Macaca fascicularis: one gene and its partners. The protein of the gene in region 2 binds, or shares a complex with, the protein of the main gene of each other region. Links are inferred from orthologs where the notes say so. Each region holds a gene or a part of one and is shown on either strand. Other genes may lie near its edges.

Region 1 (4,086 bases), on a different chromosome or scaffold from region 2:
CTTAGAGAAACCCAACTGTAGAAGGGGTGGTGGAGGTGGGAGAGGGGTGGTGAGGGAGGGAGAGGGGTGGTGGGGGAGGGAGAGGGGTGGTGGGGGAGGGAAAGGGGTGGTGAAGGAGGGAGAGGGAAAGGGGTGGTGGAGGAGGGAGAGGGGGTGGGGGGAGGGGTGGTGGAGGAGGGAGAGGTGGTGGGGGAGACAGATGGGTGGTAGGGGAGGGAGAGGTGTGGTGGGGAGGGAGAGGTGTGATGGGGGAGGGAGAGGGGTGGTGGAAGAGGGAAAGGGGAGGAGGAGGAAGGGGGTGGTGGAGGTAGAAGAGGGATGGGGTGGAGGAGGGAGGGGGCGTGGAAGAGGGAGAGGGTAGTGGAGGTGGAGGAAGGAGGGGGTGGGAGTAGTGGAGAAGAAAGAGGGGGTGATGGAGGAGGAAGAAGAGGTGGTTGAGGAGGGAAGGGGTGGTGGAGGAAGGGGGCATGGAGGAGGGAGAGAGAGGAAGAGGAGAGTGGGAGGTGGAGGAGGGAGAGGAGGTGGTGGAAGAGGAAGAGGGAGTAATGAAGGTAGAGCAGGGAGAGGGGGTGGTGGAGGAGGGAGAGGGAGTGATGAAGGTGGAGGAGGGAGGGGGGGAAAGGGAGTGATGAAGGTGGAGGAGGGAGAAAGGGTGGTGGGGTAGGGAGAAGGGGTGGTGGAGGAGGGAGAAGGGGTGATGAAGGTGGAGGAGAGAGAGGGGTTGGTGGAGGAGGGAGAGGGGGTGGAGGAGGGAGAGGGGGGTGGTGGAGGAGGGAGAGGGGGTGGTGGAGGAGGGAGAAGGGGCTGATGAAGGTGGAGGAGGGAGAGGGGGTGATGAAGGTGGAGGAGGGAGAAGGGGTGGTGGGGGAGGGCGAGAGGGTGGGAGAGGGAATGATGAAGATGGAGGAGGGAGGGGAGTGGTGGAGGAGGGAGAGGGGGTGGTGGAGGAGGGAGAGGGGGTGGTGGAGGAGGGAGAGGGGGTGGGAGAGGGAGTGATGAAGATGGAGGAGGGAGGGGGTGGTGGAGGAGGGAGGGGGTGGTGGAGGAGGGAGAAGGGGTAATGAAGGTGGAGGAGGGAGAAGGAGGAAGAAGAGGGAGAGGGGGTGATGGAGAAGGTAGAGGGTTGGTGGAGGAAGGTGGCAGTGGTGTTCCTAACCCTTGATCTTGGCTTGTTAACCCTTTCTGAGCTTCCCTCTAGTGGGGGGATGAGGATCGTCGGTTGTTCCCACATTTAAGGGCAGAGCCTGGCGGGGGGTGGTGTTGGTGCTCGAGGGTCACGCGCTGGTGGCTTTGCCGCGGTGGTGGCAGCGGTGGAAGAGGCGACACCACTGGAGGCGGCGGAGGGACGGGCCCATCAACGCTGCAGGCGGGTAAGGCGAGCGGGGGCTGAGGGCCACCAGGTCCTGCCCTCCCGAGCTGCAGCACGTGCTGGCTTAGGGGGCCGTGGGGGGTCCCGTGGGGGCGCGGCGGGGACGCGGGACGCTGCCTCCCGGAATGGGGCTGCTGGAGCGGGAGGATGCGCTAGAACCGGGGGTGGGGCGACGAGGGACTTGGGGGCGGGGAGACGGCGCGGGACCCGCGCTATCCTTTGGGATTTTGAGGGGCGGGTCCCGGCAGGGGCCCCCAACGTGGCTACTCCTGCGAGTCTCCGAGAGGGAAACAGGTGGTCGCGGGGTGGCTGTGGCGAGGTAGCTCCTCTCCGGTAGCCACGGGGTGTCGGATGTGCGCCTTTACCCACCCGTGATGTGCGCCTTTACCCAGGGTGGATGTGTGCATCTCCTGGAGCCGGCTGGGACCCCGCATCGGGCTTTGGTCAAGGATCTTTCGAAGGGGTAGGAAGACGGGAAACTCAGAAAGTGCTGAAATCTGGGCACTAGAGTCACAGTGTGTCTGATTTTTACCTGCATCCTCACTCCCACTCCAGGTCATAGCACGTTCCCTGGATCAGGGTTTCTGTAGTTAATCAGAGGGCATCTCCGCCCCCTACCCAAACCCCATCCCGACAATATATCCTTTTTATTTCACCTCCTAAACCAGGGGTTGCAAACTGGGATGCACATGGGGCCAGGCAGATGCACAATGGGTCCAACTCTTACCTGATTTCAACTATGCACCAGGCGCTGTCTATAGTTATTCATTCATTGAATCCTCACCACGCCCCCTGAACTTGCTACTTGTGATGACTGTGATTTTACAGATAGGGAAACAGGTAGGCAAGGTGAAAGTCGCTTACCCAAGATCACATGAGTAGCAAGTGCCAAGTCAGGGTGGGACTCCAGGCAGGTGGCTCCAGAGTCCTGGCTCTTAACCACTGTGCTGTGCTGAGCAGATGAGCTGTGGGGGTCACCAGGAGCCCCACTAGGGAGATTTAACGGCTGCCAGGCAGAATCGCAGACCCTGTGTGGCCAGACTGTCCAATTTATTGTCTCAGCCTCCTGAGTAGCTGGGACTACAGGCATGCACCACCACACCTGGCTAATTTTTGTATATTTTAGTAGAGATGGGATTTCACCATGTTGGCCAGGCTGGTCTCAAACTCCTGACCTCAGGTGATCCACCTGCCTCGGCCTCCCAAAGTGCTGGGATTACAAGCGTGAGCCACCTCACCCGGCCTTAATTTTTGTATTTTTAGTAGAGACAGGGTTTTGCCATGATGGCCAGGCTGGTCTCAAACTCCTAACCTCGGGTTATCTGCCTGCCTTGGCCTCCCAAAGTGCTGGGATTACAGGCATGAGTCACTGCAGCCAGCCCTGAGTTCTTATTTTCACACCCCTGAAGCTCAGATCTGGCCCCACATAATTTAGTGCAGGGAAGAATTTTGGTGAAGGGAAGAAGTTTATTTTGGAAGGTGTGGCTATACAAAAAAATGACAGTGTTCACACTGGTCTTACTCTTATCAGGGCCCTGGGGCCCTGAGCTATTCCCTCTTGTAAAACTTTTTTTTTTTTTTTAACTTACTGTATTTTTTTCAATAGATTTTCCTTTTTTTTTTTTTTTTTTAAAATACAATCTCTCTCTTTGTCCCCCAGGCTGGAGTGCAGTGGCATGAAAATGGCTCATTGCAGCCTCGACCTCCTGGGCTCAAGCTATCCTTCTGCCTCAGCCTCCTGGGAAGCTAGTAACACAGGCATGTGCCACTGTTACCAGAAAGGGATTCCGATCCAGATCCCAAGAGAGAGTCCTTGGATCTCACGCTAAAAAGAATTTGGGGCGAGTCCATAGAGTAAAGTGAAAGCAAGTTTTTTAAGAAAATAAAGGAATAAAGAATGGCTACTCCATGGGCAGAGCAGCAGCATGGGCTGCTCACCTGCTTGTACTTACTGCTACTTCTTGATTCTATGGTAAACAAGGGGCAGATTATTCACGAATTTTCTAGGAAAGCGGTAGGCAATTTCTAGAACTGAGGGTTCCTCCCCTTTTTAGACCAGGTAGGGTAACTTCCTGATGTTGCCATGGCATTTGTCACTGTCATGCTGCTGGTGAGTGTGTCTCTTAGCATGCTAATGCATTGTAATTAGCATATAATGAGCAGTGAGGATGATCGGAGGTCACTTTGGTCGCCATCTTGGTTTTGGTGGGTTTTGACCGGCTTCTTTACCGTATGCTGTTTCATCAGCAAAGTCTTTTTGCCCTGTATCTTGTGCCGACCTCCTATCTCATCCTGTGACTTAGAATGCCTAACCTTCTGGGAATGCAGCTCAGTAGGTCTCAGCCTTATTTTACCCAGCCCCTATTCAAGATGAAGTTGCTCTGGTTCAAATGCCTCTGACACCATCATGCTCAGCTAATTTTTTGATTTCTTTTTTTTTTTTTTTTTTGTAGAGATGGGGCCTCACTTTGTTGGCCAGGTTGGTCTTGAACTCCTGGGCTTAAGCAATCCTCTTGCCTCAACCTCCCAAAGTGCTAAACTTACAGGTGTGAGCCACTGTGCCTGGCCTAGTCTTCAAGTTTTTTGGGAGCCATAGCTCTGTCTTCCTCATTCTTATATTCCCACATGTCACACATACTGTATTTCACATCATGATATTCAGGAAGTACTGAATCAAATGTAATTAACTCAAGTAAAGTAGAGGTTCAGTCTCTTAG
Region 2 (4,277 bases):
GGAGGAGGAGGGTGCAGGGGAAGAGGTTGTACGCCGCTTTTCCGAACCCAGCTCTAAATGGTTTCTCCTAAGCGAGACAAGGATTTTCCATCGCCTAAAAGAGGCCATCAAGTTTTAACATTGCGAGGCACGACTTCTAATCGCATCCTTCCCGGAAAAGTACAAACAGTTCCTCAGACGAGGTCCCCCACCTCCCACGCGCTCCCCAGCCCGCCCTCCCCGCGGAGAGTCCCGCGACAGCCTCCCCAACACCTGTGAATCATCCGGGACGCTGCCACCGCCGAGCGATCCGCGCACCACCCCCTCCCCAGGCCCGTGCACGGCCAGGGAGGACAGTTAGGATTGTTGCTTTATAATTATCACTTTTAATCTCTAATATGATCAGCACAAGTAGCCTTTGTCTCCCCGCCCTGATTTGAGCATCCTAGGGCCCCCTGAGGCAGCCTGCACGGGTACCCGGGGTTTGCGCATTGAGTGAACCACCAGATTCGGCAGCGTCCCAGCCGTCCTTGCTCTGAAGCCCCCACCTCCTCCTGGCCGTTTGGACAGTTCCCTCGGGGCGTCCGTGCCTCTGTGGGGTACCCCTAAGACACCCAGCACGAAACCCCAGCGCCGACTGCAAATTCCACCCAAAGCAGCGTCATCCGTTTTTGCCCTCGGCAAACAACTCAACTTCAAGCCTCGAGTCCTCGCAAACCCACGCTGGCTGGGCTAACTCCGCTTCCCTTCTCCTTCCCCCGACTCCTGCAACAGCTCAGAGAGCCTGGCTCTGACGTACTTCAAAATAACGTGCGCCAGCCTCGCTCCCCGGCTGACCACAGCAACGAGAGCTGCAAGCCCTCGGCGCTGCTTCGATAACATGAAGCAATCACTCATAAAAATAGCAACCCACGTAGCCTGGCCATATATGGAACTGGCGAGGGTGGACGGGGATGCCCCTCCGGACCCTCTTTGGAGAAAACAAATCGCCGCAGAAATTTCCCCCACCCCTCCCATCACTACCTTTTACCCCCCTCTGCCTTCCCCTCTCCTTAGATGACTCAATCACCGATTCCACTGAAAGGGGGTGGGGGTGGGGGTGGGGGGAAAATATACACACACACACAAATTATACATATATTATACATGTATTATAAAATATATACACACATACATATATATACACGCACATATGTACACACACACACACACACCAAAGAACATCAAGAATGCAGTTGCGGGATGAACGCTTTTGCCCGAGACCGAGTGTTAAAATGGAGTCATAAGAGTCGCCCCTTTTGGGTGTTTATAGGAGGTGAAAACACGGAGGTTTGCAGGGCAGCGCCGGGGAGCCGAGTCAAGCGCGCCGCAGCCCGGGCCCCGCCTCCGCCCCCGCCGGAGCCCCGCCCCCACTTCCTCCCGCCCCTCGCCGGGCGGCTATTAAAAGCTGCTGACGTCAAAACGGACGGCCATCTTTGATGAGGGCAGAGCTCACGTTGCATTGAAGACGAAACCTCGGGGAGGTCAGGCGCTGTCTTTCCTTCCCTCCCTGCTCGGCGGCTCCTCCACACTTGCAACCTGCAGAGGCCCGGAGAACACAACCCTCCCGAGAAGCCCAGGTAAGGAGCCCCCTCCCCAGGTCGTGGTTCTGGCTCGGGATGGCTGCATACCCAGAAGGGACAGCAGCTGGGCATTCCGAGTGGGCTTGGGTAAATACAAGTATTGGTGCACTTAGGGTGCGGTATTCCGTGTGTGCACGTCTGGTGGGGGCTTTATAAAGTGTTTTCGAGGTGAACTGCTGGGGGAAGGGGAAACGGGAGCCCTGCAAATGGAGCGACGGGAAGGAAGAGCGAGGGTACGTACCGAATAATAACTTACTCTTTTGAAACAGTAGTGGGACCCCCTCTTTCTTCCATTTTGCGATGCAGTTTTCAGAGATATTTAGGCTGTTGGGTTCCCCCCCGTCGTTCTAACCCTATTATTTTGACTGTTGTCGTTAGGGTACTATTATCCAGGGAAGAATTAAGGAGGAGGCAGGGTGTGGGTGCTGGGGAAGCGAAAGGAGAAAGGGGGAGTTCCCGCCCCGGGCAAGCTGAGCTGCTGCAGCGACAGCAGCCTCCATGCCCCGCAGACTTGATTTATGCCGCCTGCTCCACGTCAACTGCAGGCTGGCGGGAGGCGGGCGGGTCGTGCCAGGTGGGAGGGCTCTGCGGAGGGCTGGCGCGGGTGGGCTGGCTTCGGGGACTGCGGCGGCCCGCGCTCAGCACCCTGGATAGCAATACCGAGGGCTCGCGCGGGCGCCCTCGACCTTTCAGCACCGGGGACAGCGGTCCGGCCGCAGCGCCGCATCTGCCTGCGGCAGAAATGCCTGGCCAGGGCTGGATGTGCGAGGGCTGGAGACCAAATTGTCTCTCTGAGACCCTGGTCTTACGGGGACCCTTAATAGAGGAGTCATAGTAGGTTAAAAGAAAACAAGAAAGAAATAAATCTTGCTCACAGAGACTCCTTTACAGACAATTTCCTGTTTCCCCTCCTCACCTCCTGCATAGCTTCAACAAAATAATAGTCTACTTGTGGAAATCTATGTTGCCCTCTGACCCTTATTTTAGGTAGAAAATAAATACATTTTTTAAAAAAATAGGCATTTATCCTTCAGCAGGGTATCAAGATTTTTGTTTGGTTTTGTTTTTTAACACAGAGTAGATCTGTCTACAGATCTTGGGTGAGTGTGAGTACTGTATATACAAAGAAGCCAATGCTATCTGTTTATAGGGATGATACATCTCTATGTTTCCATTTGATAGAAATGTGAGATTAGCTTAACTAAGCAGAATCAACTTTAAGAATGAATCACTGTTCCTTTTCCTTCTTCCCCCATCCTTGCAATCAGGCATGAACACAAGTATTCATCCACAAAAACACATATCTGAGAAATTTTGCTTGTCCTGTACTGAATAGATTTAATCTCTTTGGCCATGGTTTCTGAATTACTGGAAGTATTTCCTATCAGCACTGGTTATCACAGGCTGATAGCTTTAGATTTTGACAACATTAAGACTGGTCTTCCTCAGGAGAATCGAAGTGTGTCCTTCAGGGGAACGCAGGTAAAGAACCATGGTGTTAAACTAGAACTGAACTCTGACCTAAAGATCTACTGCAATTTCTCTTATGGCACTGCGGGATTTTGCTGAGGTGGTGATAACTACTTTAACCATTTTCTACTCTGAGGCTTGGAGTATCTGAGAGAGCAAAAGTCATCAGTGATATTTCTCTCTGTTTGATATAGATAAAACTGGCATAAAAATGACCAGTGTCAAAATTATGCCATTTGAGTAGTTAGCAAAAAAGAGTAACAGTGTCATTGTAATAATCTATACAACACATTAAAGAAACGCTATCATGATCCCCTTAAAAGACCCCAAATGAGACCTTGGATTGTGTTCAAATAGTCATACCTCCTATCATCCGTATGCTACAGATACTAAAATTTCCTGTCCATATACAGAAGGTGATTTCATTCCCAGCTATTTAATTATTTCCTAGTGTTTTTTTTTTTATAGATGACTATGTGTTTCCATGTCTGTATATATTGATCTGTTATTGTGCATGGATGTAAAATTATTTGGATGGACATTTATATAAGAGTATGTAAATGTATAAGAGAAGTTTATAACTTTGCAATCTGCAGACAAAAATAAACAACTGTGTTTTAGTGGTAGAGGAGAGAAAATATGGGTAGGAATTTTTTAAAATGCTTTAACTTCATGCTGCATGTCCAGACAGCTGTCTGCGTAGTTGCGTCAAATGAAAAGCCTAATGCTGCCGGAATTACGTGCTTGGACATTAGTAATTACTGCTGGGTTTGTTTGCTAGTGGAAGACTGGGGAGGAGCGGGGGAAGTAGAGGACTGCAGTGAAGATGTCAAAGGGCACAGAGCTGAGAGAAAGAAGCAATGTGCACAATTAGAAAGCTAATTTTAGAATAACTTACTGAGAAATTTCAAAAAATATATCATTGAACCATGAATTTAATATTTATATCATTGACAGCTTCTGGGGAAAAAATTGAGAAATTTCCTATTTTAAGTTTGAATTTTTAAAATCCAGGGCAATGCGGTGAGAAGAGGCAGGAGCAGATGGACATAGGATGAGCCAGGAGTCATTCACACAGACCCTCTGATGCCTGTTTGTTCATCGATATTTACTGCATTACCACCTCAGTGTTCAAATTACAGAATAATTGACAATCCTCTTAACCTCTTCATGGCAGAATCTCCCAAGAATTCACAATTTTATTTT
Region 3 (4,116 bases), on a different chromosome or scaffold from region 2:
CCTGCTGCCTAGAGCACCCTCCCTGGCCCCACTCCCCAGCAAGTCCTGTGGTTCCTTGGGACCTAGCTCACTCCTCACCATGAGCTTCCCCCTGGTTCACACTGCTTCCTCTGAGCTCAGACAGTCACAGGAATGATATAATCGAGCCCTTCCTTACAGTAGGTAATTCCACTTTACTAGCATTTGCTGTGCATCCTGCCTTCCCAACCAGGTAGCAAGTGCCTTGGGGCTGACTTAGCTGCTCCCTCCAAGCACACAGTCCAACAGCCCACTAATCCCTGGGCCAAAGGGACCAGACACCCAGAGCCACCTAGGAAAACTATCACCAAAAATCCAGCTCGTGGCCCCACCCCCAAACACAGCACCTGAACTTCTCCCCTTGTGAAGAAAAAGAAAACACACACACACCCTCTGTCTCCTCGCAGCCTCTAAAATAAAATATTTTTCACCTAATCAATACAGTCCATCAGCCCCAGATGTTTCTCCACACCAGGCAATTCACCATCATGTTCTTCAAGTTCTTTTGCTAAACATTATCCAACCTCAAACAAGGGGCGTGGCCCAGAGCCCTTTTCCTGTTCCTTCCTCTCTTGGAAAGATCCCTCCCCTTTGTGTCTTACCGGCCTCTGCCAGGCTCCTACCCCAGTCTCTTCCCATCCCCAGGCCCTCCTCCCAAACCCCCTTCTCCAGCCTTCTGCAGACACTCCCAGTCCCACCAACTTCCCCAGGCTCTGCTTCTGAGGGGCCACCACAGACCGTTCTCTCTACAAGTCCACTAGTCCTTTCCCAGTCCTCCCCTCAGTTTCCACAGCCTCCCCTTGACCTTTTCGGGTCCCCCCATCAGCACAGATCCCACCCCCCCCACACACCACCACCCCCTGCCAAACTCCCTTTACTTCCTCTGCCCAGAGCCTCATGCTCCTCTCAACCCTACTAAGTCTTCGTGGCTCCCTTTACTGCTCCCTTTCAGCTCCTCTTAGCACACCCATGTTTCTGTCTCTCCCTCTCCTGACCCCTCCCAGACCTCTCCTCTCGGGCGCCCACCTTGAACCCCATCAGCTCTCTGCACACTCCAAACCTGCTTCCTTCTGGGAAGTCCATTAACAATAGCTAACACTCTCAGAGATGTAACTCCACGCCAGGCTCAATTCTAACACTCACAGCAAATGGGAGGCAGGTTAGATTTGTGATCTCCTTTAACAGGGAGACTAAACCATTTACCCAAAGTCATGAAGTAAGTGGCAGAGCCACATTTCAAACCTGGGCTCTTAATACTTTTAAGCCACTAAAATTATCACAGGATGGTGGTGTCAGCTTTTAGGAGCTACCGTGAGTTTTATGCCATGTCACATGCGTTAGTTCTGTCTCCCAAGCCTTTTCCCATCCCTCTTCTCAGCATGTTCCTGTCATCCCCATTACTCGAGGATCACACAGCAGGAATTTGATCCCCAGTTTTGATTCTCTCAGTCCCCGTCTCTCCCTGTTATCCCTCCATCTCCTTGGCCAAGCCACCACCACGCGTTCCCCCACCCAGGAGTCTCCGGCCTCAACCCAGGCCTCCTCAGGTTTTTTTCTTTCCTTTTTTTTTTTTTTTTTTGAAACGGAGTCCCACTCAGTTGCCAGGCTGTAGTGCAGTGCAGAGGCGTGATCTCGGCTCACTGCAACCTCCGCCTCCTGGGTTCAAGTGATTCTCCTGCCCCAGCCTCCCGAGTAGCTGGGATTACAGGCACCCGCCACCAGGCCCAGCTAATTTTTGTATTTTTAGTAGAGACGGGGTTTCACCATGTTGGTCAGGCTGGTCTCGAACTCCCGGCCTCAGATGATCTACTCACCTCGGCCTCCCAAAGGGCTGAGACCGCCACAGTCTTGACTCCATCATCCCGGTTCCTCTGCTCAGCTGTCCTTAAACTAGTCACTGCTAACCAGGGCCGTACTCACCCCAGGCACCCCCCACACTTCAGACGCAGCTCACTGCTCCTAGGATCATCTAAGCCCTGAGCCCCTCCAAAGGTGTCAGCCCCCTTCAGCCTTCACCCTCACTGCCCAGGGCCCACGCAAATCCACTGCCCCGGGGGATGAAAAGGTCAGTCCCTCGGGCAGGCGTCCTCAGCCCCAGGCCCCATCACTGCCGCCCGAGAGCCTTCACATTCCCCTAGAGCTCTGAAAAGCCTCCGGACCTGGCTTATCTCGCGGACTCCCTCCCTGCCCCCAAGCCGGTCCCCTCCAAGGCTTCAGGACGTATTCCCTCGGTTCAGGTTCTCCCCCTCCCGCTGGCCTGTCTTCGGCCTGGGTCCCCTTCCTCGCCTCAAGACAGGGTCGCCTCTGTCCATGTGTCCTCAGCCCAAATCCCTTCCGCCATGTCAGACCGTCTCTCCTCAAACCGTGTTGCCCCGGCCCAGGCTCTTGGCCCTCAGCCTGTGTAGCCTCTGCCGCTTCAGGCCAAGTCACCTCATTCCAGGTTCCTCTCCGTCCCCTCGGCCCGAGCTCTGCGTGCCCTAACCCGCCACCTCCGACCGTGACTCCTTCGTCCTCTCAGCCTAGGTCCCGGCCGACCCCTCAGCCCGGTTCTCACCCAAAGAGGCCAGAGAAGAAGGACTGCGAGTTCTTCACTTTGCGCTCCGCCTCGGCCAACAGCGCCATCGCCTCCGCTTCTTTCCCGGAATTGTCCATGGCGGCCACAAAAGGACTCAGCAAAGCGCCCGACACTGGCCCTGGGAAGACTCAGCCGCGGCCGGGCCGCGGAACACAGATCGGGAGAAGTCGCCCGGCTGCGTTGACGTCGCACCGGCGCGCGGCGCCTGCGGCCCGGAATCACGTGACTCGCGCTGGCCAACCAGAGGCCTCGTAGCGCGGCGCCCGCTCCGCCGGCCACGCCCCCACCAGCCGCCGCAAGCCGCCCGTGACTCGGGACCCCCCAATCGGCGTCCCGAGACCTCAACGCATGCGCACACACAGGACAACGACGCCCCACTTTCTCCTCAGCGCTCTGTACCTCACCTCCCACGTGACCCTGCGGAAGGCAATGGCAATACTCACCGCCGAGGCCCCGCCCCACGGTGTTGCCGCTGGATCCTCCTCCACCAATCAGCAGCAGCCCTCGGCTCGCGTTGTTAGGGGGGCCACCCCGCGCCCTCCCTGAAGTACTCCGGCAGAGTCAGCTGACCGCGGACACTCACGTGACAACTCGGGGCCCAAGCCCGGGTTTGACAGTTCTGCGCAGAGCTTAGTCCCGCCCCACGGCTGGTCTCGCCCGTTTCTTCACTTGGAAAAGCGTTTGTGGGAAAAGGAAACCGTTCTGCTTTTTCTTGCTCCCTCTACCGGCCAGTACTGGAACTGCTTTGGGGAGACCGGTGAAGTAGTTGAGAGACTGGAAACAAAAACTTAAGAGGTTCTCTAACTCTGGTTTCATAAAAAATAGATGAAGAGGGCCGGGCGTGGTGGCTCACGCCTGTAATCCCAGCACTTTAGGAGGCCGAGGCGGGCGGCTCACCTGAGGTCATGAGTTTGAGACCAGCCCGGCCAACATGGCGAAACCCCGCTCTACTAAAATACAAATATTAGCCGGGTGTGGTGGCTCACGCCCGTAATCCCAGCTACTCGGGAGTCTGAGGGAGGAGAATCGCTTGAACCGAGGAGGTGGAGGTTGCAGTGGGCCGAGATCGTGCCACTGCACTTCAGCCTGGGTGACAGAGTGAGACTTAGGAAAAAAAAAAAGCTGAAGACAGCGTGTTAAAAAATTCCGATTCGAAGATGGGCGCGGTGTCTGGTGCCTGTAATCCCAGCTACTCGGGAGGCGGAGGCGGGAGGATCGCTTGGGCCCAGGAGTTTGAGTCCGGTTCAAGTCCCGCCTTGGGCAGCATAGCAAGACTCTGTCTCTAAAAAAAAAAAAAAGTTCAGATTCAAACACACCTCCTGCTGCCCCAGAAAATTGAGTAGTTGGTTTTTGAGACAGGTCTCACTCTTTGGGTTGTTGGTTTTGGAGACAGGGTCTCACTCTGTCGCCCAGGCTGGAGTGCGGCAGCACAATCATAGCTCACCGCAGTATCACTTTGTAGTGCCAGAGAGGAAGGAAGTATTCCACACGTGTGCTCACACACAAAATTAGGGGGTATGCCA
Region 4 (4,269 bases), on a different chromosome or scaffold from region 2:
AAAAATAAAGACTGTATAAAATTGTGACATTAGACTGTTTTGTGGGATAACAGAACAAGAATTTCCTATAATGTATCATTTAAGGTCTCTCCACAATCCACTCACAATATATTGGAATTAGTTCTGATTTCTAATATATAGATATTGAATTTTTTAGAAGTATGTGAAAAACTACTGATATCCATCTTTTTAGATGTTATTTCTATAATTAACATTTGTAAAGAGTCATGAAAATAAATGTCACAAACCAAGCCTAAATTTTCACATATTCCTAAGACAGTGGAGAAATGAGACAACAAAATCTTATTTTTCTCACATGAAGTCAGCTGGCTTCCTTTTTGTACATCTTTTCGTGTCTAAACTTGTTAATTCAGTTGTACATACACATGAGGTAATTAAGTGATTGTCCCTTTGTCCTTGTAACCAAAAGGTGGCACCTCTAAAAACCAGAGTTAGCTTTCAACAGAGACAGTATTTTTTTTAAGTCATTTAAATGTCAAAGCCCTAGAAAGAGAATCCTTTTTCCTGACTTGGTAATTCTGCTTAGGTCGGAGGGATCATTGCCTCAAATGCAAAATGGTTTGGAAATAGTACACATTACGCTGATGGCAAATGAATCCAGCTCTTCTCTAAGTTGGTGTGTAAACTTATACATTAAAGATACATAGTGAAAAAATACTCTCTGAGATACAAATTAGTGTAGAAGGTCAGGCAGAGTTAGGATAGAAGATTCCCTTTTCTTATATCAAGTGGACTTCTAGAAAAAAAAAGTAAGACTGCATTTCCCCTTATACATAAAAATAAGTGTTTTGTATACTAACATCTGCTGATTTTTCTGTGTTCAGGTAAGACCCACTTGGAATGCTTTCCTATTACATCAAACGAGGCACTTCTCTATACCTCCTTCCATCTGACAGTACTATCGCTTCGCTGTCCCTGATGAATACTAAGAAAATAAAGCTTATATCCCCAATGATGGAATTAGAGACTGCTGAAGCTGCTGTAAAGGCTCTGTCCAACAAGTACCATTTACTTGACCTATTATGCAGGCAGCCAGGGGCATGTTGCTGTTTTGATATATTTTTCTTTCTTTTAACAAGACGTTACAAAAATGTTTTCCCCTTCAGGATTTTTAAAATTTAGGCTATCTTTCTAGCATTACTTTCTAAACTTTGTTCCAATACAGGAGGATTCTTGTCCAGCTGAGCCTCCATGTGCCTTCTAAAGGGAGTGCTGAAATTGTACAAACATCATGTTTACATCCATTAAATATCCTCCTATTAAAAGAAAATAAAGCCAGGCATAAGTTTGGTATCCAGACAATAAAATTCAAATAGATAGTAGAAAGATAGAATAAAGTGAAAATTCATACACAAATGTAGCTTCCACACAAAAGTTAAACAGTTGCTTTATTTCACCAAAGGGTTAATACTGGAGAAAGTGAACATCAACATGTACACAAAGCTAACTAGAAGATTAGCTTTCTCAAAGTAGAAATCCAAGCCTCCCTATAAAACTGTTGTCCCTTGCAAATGTTTTGAAACTTTACATTTTTTGATCCCCCAACAACAGACCATACCAAGAAACCTCAGGAAAGTAATAATCTATTTTTAATTGTGTTTTTTTTCTTACTCAAGAAACCTTTCAAAGTTCAGATATTAACACTGATGTGCAATACCAAATTGTCAGTCCCACAGGACAGATGGAAACAGGAAAAGTCAGATGGTTGGCACTCAAAAGCAACAGCAATTAAGCAGTTGAAAGTGGGTTGGATTGTCGGTTTATTTTTGTTCCATTTGAACGAATCAAGTGAGAGACATAGTCTCTTGCAAGGAGGAAATCAAGTCAAACTTGACGCTTCCCCTCTCTGACAGCCCAAGCTGGTCGGCTTGTCTACTCCCCTTATTCAGTTTAATTGCTTTCTGTGCTCTGATTTTCGCAGAGATTGTATTCTATCTTGTTTACGCCCCAACCCACCCACCCCCATATCCCTCTCCCCAACAGAAAGAAATCTTTCTCCTTTCTTCACTCCCCCTCTTTCCTCTTAAGAAAGGCAATCCTCTCCAGGAGGAGAAAGAAACCCTGTGCGTGCTTAGGGTGGGAGGAGGGCGAGAGGGGAGGTGTGGGAGAGAAAGAGAGAAAAGATTGAGATTGGGGGCGGGGGACAGAGGAGAGAGAACAAGAGAAGGAAAGAGGAAGCAAGAAGATGGGGGATGCCCAATATCAACTCCAAGCTCTAAATCACGGGCGCTGTGCAAAGTGCTTTTCCAGGAGATGCACATGTGGTCTCATATTTCTCACAATAGGCCACCCGGGGATCCCTCCCTAGGTCTCAGACTCCCACCACTAAAATCCAAGTGTATCGAGAAGAAAATCTTTGGGATGGATTCGAGCAGATAGGCACCGCCGAGGTGGCCGCGCCGCCAGTCCCGCTTCCTTACCTGGAGGGCGGACCGGGAGGTGGTGCCGGGTCTCAGTCCCCAGTGCTCTCCCGGCGTGGACCGGCGCGAGGCACACGCGTGCTCTCGCTGCCTCCGCTCTTGGAGGGGCAGCCTGCAACACAAAAGGGGTGTGTGGGTGTGGGTGTGTGGGAGGTTTTCCAGGGCCACCAGCTGGTCCCAGCTGGTCGCCCCCACCCTACACACACCCCTTCGGGGCGCCGAGCCCCCCTCTCGGCTGAGCACCACCCTGGGGGCTTGCCCGGGGTGCAGCCTCAAGTTGCCGCTGCTAACTGCTGCTGCCGCTGCCGCTGCTGCAGGAGGAGGTGGAAAGACACTGGGGGCAGTACTCGTTCTAAAGCATCCCCACACTGCAGCTTCTCCAGGAATCCCTCCAGTGAGGAGGCGGCCGCCCATCATCTCCCAGCCCTAGCATCCTGATTGGCTCCACCTCGGCTACGCTGCGCCAAGAAGCCAATCCCAGCGCACTAATAATAGGTGGATCCGCTCAGCCAACATCTCCCATCCCAGTTCTGTTAGTGTCCCTCCATCCCCACAGCGGACAGGGACCTGGGAAGCGGGGTGGAGGCGGGTTGGGGGAGGGAGTGAAGTAAGAGGGGAACAGATGCCAAGGAGACACAATCAAGGGCATCCGATAAAACCTCTGGGTAGACTCAAGAATGCCCCAAAACCTGTTCAGCAAGCCATATGCACAGGAGAAAGAGAGCGAGCATAATACAAAGCTTTTTTTTTTTTTTTTTTTTTTTTTTTTTACTTTCAATCAAAACCTGCCCTGATACTGAGCATGCCCAGACTGCAACAGCGACCTAGGAGTTTCGACGTGTGTGGGTTTGCCAGCTGTAGGTTTTTGAAAAGCTGGAACCCGGGATAGAAGAGGCAGAAGTTTGTCTTTGGCCATTTAACCCGGCGGAGTTGTGAAAGCTGGGCAGGGTGGGGACATGAAAGGGTTCTGCACAAGTGTCTTCAAACTGAGCCGCGGGGAGGTGGCCCGCCGGGCTGCTGGAGGTTCATCATGCTATTCTTCTGGGGTTCCGGGTTGGAAGCGGGGGCGGGATAAGCTGAGCTTTGCTGGAAGCCTGGAGACTTCCCGCGAAGGGTGTGGTGTTGCCGAGATGCAGGAGAAGCCGCTCCGTCCCATAGGTGGGGCCGGGAACGCGACTCCACCCATGAGCGGCGGCTGCCAGGCCGTGGAGAGTGCACTGGGAGTTTCCATTGCAGCGACCAATAAGTTTGTAGACTTGGGTCAAGTGCGGCATTGCTGGGGATGCTTTTTATTTTTATTTTTTGCCACCTCCCTCCCCCATCTCTCTCGACCCCTTACCAGAGCAGTGACGACTAAAGCACAAATCTCTCCCTGCTTCCTCTCTTCCCAGCTGAACCGTTCTGCTCGGAAGTAAGAAGCTTTTCCCTTGTGAGGGCGGTGGTGACCTGATTGTCTCTAAGCTCTCAGGCAATTTATAGCCTGGTAATACCGAGATACCAAACAGGAAGGCTCAGCGGGTGGGGGAAGGGACCGCGCGCCAGGCAAGGGGCGGGAACGGAGCCCAGCTGGGAGAGGGGCCCGTCCATTATCTGCTCCACAGGTGAAAGGCTTTCAAAACGCAGAGAACTATTTCTCTTTCTCACTCCCTCAACCTCGTTTAAAGGCCTTTGAACCTCTTATTTGTTTTACTTAGAAACCCTAGCATTTTGTGTAAACTTGATCAATAGCTACAAATGAGAACTCACCTAATTGGGTTCTTTATTTTACTGAGAAGATTATCTTGGCATCTCAGGTAGGGAAATAAATAGCTATCTCAATTCCCCAAAC
Region 5 (4,016 bases), on a different chromosome or scaffold from region 2:
GTTCTCCACATACAGTGCAGAACAAAAGATGAAGGTCCTCTAGCTCAAGAATTCTACAAATAGAGATTTGCTGGGCTAATGGAGTTTGACAGTATCTACTTTGTGTGAGTCAGTGGACAGCCATTAGAGATGAATTCTACAGAGAGGCTTGCTCAGGCTGGATAACTAGTAAGTGGACAAAGCATTTTGATAAAAAATCTGATCAGAAGAACTGGTCTTGGCTTGAGCAATCTAAAGACCTAATCCTAACATTGTATTATCCTATTTTATAAAGTGGTTCTTGGGGAATACACTCAGGGAGTGGTGTTCATGTTTTAAGCATATGATTTTTTATTTTTCCTGAGCTAAATGTTATGAGCAGGTATGTGATTCTACCACAGGAAAACAAGCATGAAACCTAGAAAGTCTGACTTTTGCTTAGATCTTCCAGCACAGCAGGGAGCAAAGTTTTGTTACAATTATGATACAGTCAGAATTTGCTTTACATTCACACTTTCATGATACTTTTTCTAAACAGATTTCCAGAGTGCTCATACTTGTTTAAAATTCATATTTCCAACATTTCAGAGCAATACCTCATCTACTTGATTTTGTGTCTGCTGAAGTCTTCGATTACTGCCAGGGGCAGCAGTTGGACCTGTAGACCTGGAACATGTAAAGGCAGGAGCATGAGTAAATTATGATTCCAAATACATTTTCTTAAGTATAAAGAAGTTACTCCAGGACTCTCACTGTTAACAATTTCTTACATTAGAACTAAAGCAGAAAAAGAAATTCTTCCTGAAGCAATGAACAAAAGTTTTAATTACATTTCTTCTAATTTCTCTATAATTTCCAAGACTGTCCCACCTACTAAAGGGACAAACGTGAAGGTTTAATAGGACCTACTTTGTATCCCTGAAGTATCTGATCCCACGACAGGTAAACTCTACTGTCCTTTTTTGAAACTTGTTCTAAGGCACACATCTGCTTGAACGTACTCAGTACTCTCCTGATCTTTTCATTGTGGCAGGAACTGTTTTCATAGTTATAAACAGTTATAGAATGCCCTTTTTCCAATATAGAAAAATAGATTAATTTACAGAAACAGAGTCAGGAACACTGGGATGCAGGGAGCGGTTGGTGTGAGTGGAAAGGTGTGTTGAAGCAATGCTTCCCCTTTTAGGAAGGTACTCTTTTTTTTTTTTTTTTTTCCTCTTTTGAGAGACGGAGTTTCCCTCCTGTTGCCGAGGCTGGAGTGCAATGGTGTGATCTCGGCTCACTGCAACCTCCGCTTCCTGGGTTCAAGCAATTCTCTTGCCTCAGTCTCCCAAGTAGCTGGGATTACAGGCATGCACCACCACGCCCGGCTAATTTTGTATTTTTAGTAGAGACGGGGTTTCACCATGTTGGTCAAGCTGGTCTTGAACTCCTGACCTCAGGTGATCCATCTGCCTCGGCCTCCCAAAGTGCTGGGATTACAGGCATGAGCCAGCGCGCCCGCCCCGGGAAGGTACTCATCTTTTAAAATCTTCATCAAAGGCTTTATTTCTCCTCATGCAGATCCTTCTTAACCACTCTGACTCTGAAGTCATTATTGGCTCCATTACTTGGAAAGTATCACTTTGGTTTTTCAGGTATAAAGTCCTGCCTCCTCGAATAGATTACAGGTTCCTGGGTCTTCTTACTCTCTTCTCTGTATCCTAGATAGCACCTAGCATGTACCTTAGTATACAACAGTCTGATGGACTGTTTGAACAGTCACTTTACATCTGTCATGTGTCAATGACCAGGGCTACAACAGATCTCATCGCCGTCCTCACAGAGTTTAGTGTCTGGTAGATAAGTAAGGACCATGCCGTGGTGCTAGACTCTTTTCATGCATTTTCTCCTTCAACTCTCATAACTCTCTGAGGGGAATATTACTCCCATTTTACAGATAAGTAAAGTGAGGTTTAAAAAGTCAACACAGCTGGCTGCCGTTCAGATTGTTTTTAGATCAGGTCCTGTGTACCTGGGATCTAGATCTTAACCACTGTGATCTATTGACACAGCAGCCTCAGCAGGAACATTCGAGGGGGGGTCCCCAACTCCTGGAAGAAACCCGGGGCTTCCTCCGACGGTGAGCAATGAACAGAATGGAGGTGGAAGAGAGGGTCCTTGTGATTCTTAACCATGAACATTCTCTGAGCGTTACCACTGGAAGCACCGGTTTGCAAGGGCCACAAGAGCGCTTTCGCTTAAGAGTGCGAAGGCCCACGGTTAAGTGATCTTTCCAGTGCAGATGCCCCTAGCCAGGCAAGGAGCTCTTGGGCCCACAGGGGCTCAGCACAGGGCCGAGGTCCTTTCTTTTGCAACTTCCGGGGCCCAACTGGGCCGAGAGCCGGCCCTCCCGAACCAGGGCAGTCGTCCCCGTTCCTCTCCGGGACCTCTGGGACTAGAACGGGAAGGGGCGAGGAGCGGGGTGCGGGCGGGCAACTCACTTCCTCCGGGAAGCGCCTCGCCACCCCGCCCTCGCCCCTTCCGCGTCCGCCCCATGGCAGCGGAACCCGCCCGGGCCGTCTGCAGCCCGCGCCCCAAGGGCTACCGCCCACCCCCAGGCCTCGGGATCCCCGCGCAGCCCCGGCCTGCGTCCGAGCGGCGGCCGGCGGCAACTGGGCGGTACGGCGATCCCAGCGCGAGCTGCCGCCTGCGGGGCCCGAAGCCGCCCGCGTCGCGCAGCGTCACTCACATTTTGGCAGCGGCGGCGGCGGCGGCGGCGAGCGAGGGTCAGCAGAGCAGCGAAGTAGGGACCGGAGGCCAAGGAGATGGGCGGAACGGCGCGACTCCGGGCAAAGACGTCACTAGGCAGGGCCGGCGGGAGTGGGCGGGGCGCAGAGGGGGCGCGCCGGAAGTGGGCGGGGGCGTCGTGGGCGGGCGCGTCGTGGCGGGCTCGTCCAGGGCGGGGTCAGAGCGAGATGTCCACTCCCTGGACTAGGTCACTTGGGAACTTGAGGGCCACAGGGGTCCCAGGGCGGTCCGGGCTCTGAAACGCAGAGTGCAGGTCAATACAGCTTCCTCTCTGCACCGCGGCCCGCGCTGGCGCTTGGGGACGTGGTCTGCAAACGTGGCGCATTAGGCACTGGCTGGGGACTGTGTGGATAAGTGAGGGTGGGCGCAACTCATGTTATTCTGGGCTCGGGACCATTTCTCTCTAACAGTATTAGAGACAGATGATTGGCTTCTGCTGAATGTTCCAGATTAACCTAGTGATCCCGAGGGCACCATGTTTCTCTGAGAAAGTAGTTGAAATAGGAAGTCCATTTCAGGTATTTGTCACATGGGGTTGGGTTAGGTTCCCGCTCATGTTTTCCTCGGTAACACAAATATTTGTCCCTGCAGATCATATTATAATCTGCTTACGAGAGCCTTGGCATCAAGACTGTAGTTCCTTCATTTCTGTATTTTTAGGCCCTAACACAGAATAGGTCCTCAGGTTTTGGTCGAAGGGAGGGAAGCACAAATCTGAACGCAGTGAGTTACCTTGTATATATTTGTCACTGAAATATTCCTACCAACACAGTTACCGACATCAAAAAATAAAACACTATAGGTGTTTGGTCATTGGTGGGTCTCTTAAATGAGAAGTGAAAAATACAGTACTTAAATACTATGCTGTTTTTTCCAACTCTAAATAGAATACTTCGAAAAGGGAAACATTCGTATATATTCGAATAAACGAGACTGTCACAAAGGCGGTGGGATTTGAGCTGGGTACTAGCAGAAAAGAACTTTCCAGTAAGGGTTGGACAAACACCATGAACAAAGACAGCAGTGAAAATGGACGCAGTGTGCACAGACCACCTACAGGGTGCAGGTTGGGTACAAGTGAAAAGAAGACTGAATAAAGAGGGTAAACAAGAAAAATGTCATTTGATTGTAGTGGGCCCTGGAAACCATTGACTCACGGACTTGGGAGATCCGTGCTGCACAATTTCTCTGGCAGTAGCGGCCAGATGGATCAGATGGAAGAGGGAGCACTAGGGAGATAAGGAGAG

Evidence for each region. Proteins that work in one complex are often made in the same cells at the same time.
Region 1: the proteins of SNAP25 (region 2) and RPH3A are in contact, whole or in part, in a crystal structure (PDB 5LOW), measured with the Rattus norvegicus proteins. The link is inferred for Macaca fascicularis from reciprocal best matches to the Homo sapiens genes SNAP25 and RPH3A. Residues at the interface, in NP_112253.1 of Rattus norvegicus: Glu38, Asp41, Ile44, Arg45, Leu47, Val48, Met49, Asp51, Glu52, Glu55; in NP_598202.2 of Rattus norvegicus: His617, Ser618, Ala621, Ile648, Ser649, Ala650, Lys651, Gly652, Leu655, Tyr659, Leu662, Lys663, Lys665.
Region 3: the proteins of SNAP25 (region 2) and NAPA are in contact, whole or in part, in a cryo-EM structure (PDB 6MDM), measured with the Rattus norvegicus proteins. The link is inferred for Macaca fascicularis from reciprocal best matches to the Homo sapiens genes SNAP25 and NAPA. Residues at the interface, in NP_112253.1 of Rattus norvegicus: Glu37, Lys40, Asp41, Ile44, Arg45, Leu47, Asp51, Glu52, Glu55, Gln56, Arg59, Glu62, Gln152, Asn159, Met163, Asp166, Glu170, Thr173; in NP_542152.1 of Rattus norvegicus: Lys122, Glu155, Glu156, Ser157, Asn158, Ser159, Ser160, Asn162, Pro196, Leu197, Leu198, Tyr200, Ser201, Lys203, Asp204, Ala234, Phe235, Ser236, Arg239, Ser268, Ile269, Ser270.
Region 4: the proteins of SNAP25 (region 2) and SYT1 are in contact, whole or in part, in a crystal structure (PDB 5KJ8), measured with the Rattus norvegicus proteins. The link is inferred for Macaca fascicularis from reciprocal best matches to the Homo sapiens genes SNAP25 and SYT1. Residues at the interface, in NP_112253.1 of Rattus norvegicus: Lys40, Asp41, Ile44, Leu47, Val48, Asp51, Glu52, Glu55, Gln56, Arg59; in NP_001028852.2 of Rattus norvegicus: Cys277, Arg281, Lys288, Val292, Leu294, Glu295, Asn336, Tyr338, Asn340, Arg398, Arg399, Pro400, Ala402, Trp404.
Region 5: the proteins of SNAP25 (region 2) and VAMP3 are in contact, whole or in part, in a crystal structure (PDB 5KJ8), measured with the Rattus norvegicus proteins. The link is inferred for Macaca fascicularis from reciprocal best matches to the Homo sapiens genes SNAP25 and VAMP3. Residues at the interface, in NP_112253.1 of Rattus norvegicus: Asp147, Leu150, Glu151, Val153, Ser154, Ile157, Leu160, Arg161, Ala164, Leu165, Met167, Gly168, Ile171, Asp172, Gln174, Asn175, Ile178, Asp179, Ile181, Met182, Ala185, Asp186, Asn188, Lys189, Ile192, Ala195, Asn196, Ala199, Thr200, Met202; in NP_476438.1 of Rattus norvegicus: Ser15, Arg18, Leu19, Gln21, Thr22, Gln25, Val26, Glu28, Val29, Ile32, Met33, Asn36, Lys39, Val40, Glu42, Arg43, Lys46, Leu47, Glu49, Leu50, Arg53, Ala56, Leu57, Gly60, Ala61, Gln63, Phe64, Ser67, Leu71, Lys74.

What each region holds. Positions count from the first base shown.
Region 1 is NC_088385.1:119,501,871-119,505,956, forward strand, and holds the start of RPH3A (rabphilin-3A), read left to right. Parts: upstream 1-1,286; 5' UTR 1,287-1,370; intron 1,371-4,086. UniProt on the Homo sapiens protein: Plays an essential role in docking and fusion steps of regulated exocytosis.
Region 2 is NC_088384.1:77,140,275-77,144,551, reverse strand, and holds the start of SNAP25 (synaptosomal-associated protein 25), read left to right. Parts: upstream 1-1,477; 5' UTR 1,478-1,834; intron 1,835-1,842; exon of another isoform or gene 1,843-2,124; intron 2,125-4,277.
Region 3 is NC_088393.1:55,533,661-55,537,776, forward strand, and holds the start of NAPA (alpha-soluble NSF attachment protein), read right to left. Parts: upstream 2,801-4,116; 5' UTR 2,671-2,800; coding exon 2,573-2,670; intron 1-2,572. UniProt on the Homo sapiens protein: Required for vesicular transport between the endoplasmic reticulum and the Golgi apparatus. Together with GNA12 promotes CDH5 localization to plasma membrane.
Region 4 is NC_088385.1:85,716,458-85,720,726, reverse strand, and holds the start of SYT1 (synaptotagmin-1), read right to left. Parts: upstream 2,801-4,269; 5' UTR 2,442-2,800; intron 1-2,441. UniProt on the Homo sapiens protein: Calcium sensor that participates in triggering neurotransmitter release at the synapse. May have a regulatory role in the membrane interactions during trafficking of synaptic vesicles at the active zone of the synapse.
Region 5 is NC_088375.1:227,099,272-227,103,287, forward strand, and holds the start of VAMP3 (vesicle-associated membrane protein 3), read right to left. Parts: upstream 2,801-4,016; 5' UTR 2,713-2,800; coding exon 2,711-2,712; intron 646-2,710; coding exon 576-645; intron 1-575. UniProt on the Homo sapiens protein: SNARE involved in vesicular transport from the late endosomes to the trans-Golgi network.